Linked DNA regions of Saccharomyces cerevisiae S288C. The gene in region 2 interacts genetically with the main gene of each other region. Each region holds a gene or a part of one and is shown on either strand. Other genes may lie near its edges.

Evidence for each region. Genes that interact genetically often act in the same process or in processes that back each other up.
Region 1: mutations in YFL051C (region 2) and SPO24 together harm fitness less than expected from each alone (positive genetic interaction), as found in Saccharomyces cerevisiae (one large-scale study listed by BioGRID).

The regions. Positions count from the first base shown.
Region 1 is NC_001148.4:644,333-646,653, reverse strand, and holds SPO24 (Spo24p), read right to left. Parts: upstream 705-2,321; coding exon 501-704; downstream 1-500. Other genes in the region: ERV2 (flavin-linked sulfhydryl oxidase), read left to right, coding at 1-206; VMA13 (H(+)-transporting V1 sector ATPase subunit H), read right to left, coding at 1,382-2,321. UniProt on the Saccharomyces cerevisiae protein: Required for efficient sporulation.
Region 2 is NC_001138.5:29,558-32,068, forward strand, and holds YFL051C (uncharacterized protein), read right to left. Parts: upstream 984-2,511; coding exon 501-983; downstream 1-500. Other genes in the region: ZNF1 (DNA-binding domain containing protein), read left to right, coding at 1-72.

The sequences.
Region 1 (2,321 bases), on a different chromosome or scaffold from region 2:
TAAAGTTGATTGAGAAGTATCCCGTACAGACATCTAGCAGGACGGCTGCCGCAATGTGGGGATGCCACATTCACAACAAGGTGAACGAATACCTAAAGAAAGACATATATGACTGTGCTACCATCCTGGAGGACTACGATTGTGGATGTAGTGACAGCGACGGTAAACGCGTGTCTCTCGAGAAGGAGGCTAAACAGCACGGTTGAACAAAGAAAGATTACATTAATCAATTATAGTAATAGTAAATTTTTTATTATTTTATATTTTAAATTTTTTTACTTTCTCAGTATTTATATTACATAAATATGTATATATCAAAAAGTTTCTGTCGTAGAAGAGACCCGATCCGAGGTTATTGAATGTAAGTGCGGGAAAGTGCAGATAGAATGACAATGAATGCTCCGGAAAAAAAAAAAAAAGTACGTGACTTACTTGCCCAAGTAAGTAAAGATGCCAAGTGTCTTTTATGCTAATAGTGTGCTAATTCTCGTGTACAACACTTACAACAGAGACAAAGAGTTTTTTCTGGAGTGTGAGCGGCTTGAAGCAGAGGCATCCAAAAGAGCGGCATTGGCAATAGCCAGATTCAGGTCATCGACGTTTGCGTCAGAGTTCTTTCTTGAGCTTGGCTGAGAGACTGGCGAAAGAGATGGGATGACAAAAGGTTGAGAAACGTCAGAAGTTAGTTCTAAAAAGGCGACCATTGTTGAAATTTTTGTTTTTTGTGTTATTTGTGTGAGTTGTCAGTAAAGCTGTTTTGTAGTTGCTTGTTTGATGATGATTTTTTATATTTTACAAGGACTAGAGGAAACAATTGTGAGAGTTGAGCTATTGGAGAAATCTAGAGACCTTATATATGTGTCTGTTCTTCATGCTAATTGAGCCCCCTCTAAAGTTCTCTTACGTTATAGAGCGTCATGACAACGATTGATCACGCAGATGACTAACCGCCAGTCACAGCGCATATTAGCGCGCAAATGAAAAGAATGACCGACCCGCCGCGGAATCGATCTCGGATTTGCGCGGGGACAGCCACACCCACCTTCCGCGGACCTGCGGAGGGTGGTTTTCGGCAGGCGGTTCCCGGACACCAGGAAAGGGGCGCCCATTAATACCCGACTTCGGCGGCCACCGAAGGCTCAGGGGCGGGGAGGAGGCGTCATGAAAAAGCATGATTCACTGCATTACCAATCACGCACGCACGCAGTCGGTGCACGCAGCGCAGGCCGGGTGCGTGAATGACTGATTCTGCTACCCTCTTCTGGTTCGTTTCTTTTTCTTCTTTTCTTTTCTATGGATGTTCTTCTCTTAAAATAATAGTACGTACAAAACTACTTATTTAGGCTTCAAACCCACTACTACTTTACGGTCTTCTATATCTTTATTTGAAGGTATATCCAATGATTGCCTGCGTGGCCTTGAGGGCCTCGTATTTCACCCTAGAATCTGAATGGTTCAGCAACTCCATGATGTCGGCTTTGCCGCCAGTCTTGTCGAGAACGTCGATGCTCTCTGGTAGAAGCTCGACCACGTGAGTGATGTCGTTCAAGGCGACTTGGATAATGATCTTTTCTTGTTTCGCGTTGACGTCGCCGTTACGGACCTTTGCTTGCAAGAGTTCGATCAATTGTCTAAAGATCTTGTAGTTGTCCTTCTTGAACTCGTCAATGTTATCGGACCAGAAACCGTTGTCGACATGTGGTGGAGACCAGCACAGCAACTTGGAGTCCAATTCGGCGACGTATTCATCGAAGGAGGTCAATTCTTGGTACTCGTTTTCTAGGATTTCCTTGAGGTTGCTGATGTCTTGACGCAATTCTTCGTCGGAATACTTTCTTTCGCTCAAGCTCTGTACGGTGGGCAACGCGTTGCCGAGCAACAAAAGTTGCTTAATCACCTTCTTGTGCTGCTTGACGCGCGTGGAGCAACATTGCAGGATGATGGATATGCACAATCTGGACACTTTCTCCTTTATGGTTATCTTAACCAATTTCAAGAGGTCCAAGAAATCACTCAAGTATTTCTGGACTAGCTCGTTTGCAAAAACTGGGTTAAAGGTCAGCAACCATATCAATAGTAAAGAGTGGTACTGCAATTGAATACCCAGGTGGTTGGAGTTTGTTGCAACTATCCGCGTGGCCAATTGAGAGTCCGTGGCACGTTGCAGGATCTTGAATAAGGTGGGCATGAACTTCTTCTCATGCAACCATATCACGTCACGATACTCTGGTATCACGGCCAGTTCTTGCAATAGTCTGATGCACACGTAACAAGTGTCCATCTGCTCAATGTTTTGCAAGATATTGATCAAGTTGTTGTTT
Region 2 (2,511 bases):
ATCACGCTTCCTCTTTCTAATCCGCTTGAATCGACAGATGGTTCTAAAGAAGATGTAGATGCGCTTCCTTAAGTAAACACATTGCTACTTGCATTTTACCTTTCAAGATGTAGTGATTACGGACAGTTGAAGAGGCTAATAGCATCTATTTCTTCTTTAGTATATGGTTCCTGCAGGGCAAACAATTATTTCCTTTGCAATTTTGCGGCAGTGGGGAAGAATGATAGCACTAATAGTGAACTTGTGGACAATTATGCTATTATAGCAAGAAAAAAAATTTATTTTTTTTTCAAGGGGGGTGATTGTGATGTGAATTAAATCAAGGATATACGCTTTTATCGTCATGATAGTCGTGCGATTTGTACTTGGTTATAGATGAAATGAGTTAGTTTTTAATAATTGTGATCACAATATAGCTGTACTTATCAGGCCATTAAAGTTTCCTGTAAGGTGCACGAGAAGTCATGGTCATAAAATTATCAGAATCTCCAAGGAGAGGTTCAACGGCGTCGGTTGCCCATACTCCATATTAAGTACCCTGTCATTTCCACAGTTACATTAGTTGGAGTAGTATAGAAACCAAAAAGATCAGAACTCCAATAGGCAGTATTTGGGTCACAGTATTCAGTGTCACGTTTTTTAGTTTCATAAAGAGGTCCGCAAGGATCATATCCATCCTCATCACGCTTCAAAACTGCATAAGTCACACAGGTAGGAGTGCTCTCACAAGGCGGACTATAGTATATGGAGAGATTGGTCTGTCCGCTAACGGAACCTAACTTCTTTGTATTGGAGTATTCATAGCCCATATATTCAGGCTCCAAGTATGTGGTTTGGTCGCCTATTGTGTACTCATAAAAATTAATATTCATACCATCTTCCCTTTTGTTTGTTGGTAAGCAAGCTTCTGTACTGGCTAAGGTTGTAGTAGCTAGCGCCACGAAGACCAAGAGTGCCGAAAATACGGAATGGGGTATAGACATTTGAAGGTGTGGAGGGATGCTGGTATCCTCCAATTGTTACATTAAGATTATCATCTGGCTATCATGAAATGAAGGTTACCTTTATATAAGAAAGACTTTTAAAAAAATGTTTTGTTTTCTGCTTTAGGGAAGTAGATATCGTTCCTGCATTTTGATATCAAAATAATCTCCGGTAGGCATCAATTGCAGTTAAAGCTCTTTCTGGCAAAAACCCCGATACCCATGTAGGTACGCTCTTTTCACCAGGTCTTAATAATTTGATGGGCACCGTTTATCCCAGGCAAGCCAAAAATTAGAAACAAAAAACAACTCACGTACGTTAAAAAACCTGATAGTGCTTCGTACTACATAGAACCCTGCGCTGTTATCTGCTAATCGAGCACTACTAAATTCCCTCCAAAGGAAGTAGAGTATAGATTCTATGCACCGATGTGAAAATAGTAAACCTACGATAACCTTTTTTTTTTTACTAACCGAATTGAGCAGATATTGTTACCTGTTACGGTCATAAAAGTTAAACGATTTTGCTTTATTTCTGTCCCTGGCTGAAAATAGTAAAGAAGAGGGAAGGCAAGTTCAAGGGCAGCTTAATAAGTCATACGAAAACGTTCTCGAACTTTTTTTCTGCAAGCTTTTCAGAACCACGATGGAAAAAAGAAATTTTTACAACACTAATGCCAAGTAAGGTTTTTCGGATTTAGGGTGGCGTCCTGAAAAAAAAAGAAACGTCTCAGAACGTTTCGGAGAAAAAAAAATAAGGTGTCAAATTTCTTAGTGTTTTGACGGGTGATGCCCTTCCAGATAAATCTCGTGGAGATTGGCTAGCGTCAAACGTCACCGATCTCTATTTCTTTTTTAGGTTATTAAATTTCGATTACATCGCGTGTTCTTAGATAAGTTACCAAGGGTGCTCAAAGGAAAATTATATTTCTTTTTTTCTTTTGAGTAATTGCAGGTGAAGAGATACAGAGCAAGGAACGTGATGTAATGCATTTTTTTTTTTGTTCCTTGGAACCACATGATTTACTCAACAAATTAATCTAGTTTGTGCTTCAAGCATGCACCATTGTGAATATTTTTTTAGTTTCAAGGTGACAGGTTATGAAGATATGGTGCAAAAGACAAATGTATGGTGGCAGGCATAGTAAAATGATGGTGTGGAAGACATAGATTGTATTTGTTTTGCATTATCCAAGTGCTCGAGATTGGTTCTAAAAAACAAGAAAATAAAGGGCAAGAAGAAAACCAGTTACTTCTACATTGAGAGGCCAGCCAGGTTGCCGCACACGTGTTGGTGCACGTTAAGTTTTGGGCTCACAGTGGTAAATCATAGAAAAAGCAGTTGCTTAATTTCCCTCTTTTTCATATTCTCTACGCTAGCACTGTAAGGAAAAACGCAGAAAGCAACATACAACGTTTGTTAGGATGTTCGTACTTCACAATAAGCAGACAATAACCATTTCAAGTGTAAAAAAAATTTTTTTTCTGTTAGTTTGATGCAGAAGACTTATACTTTTAACTTTTTTGG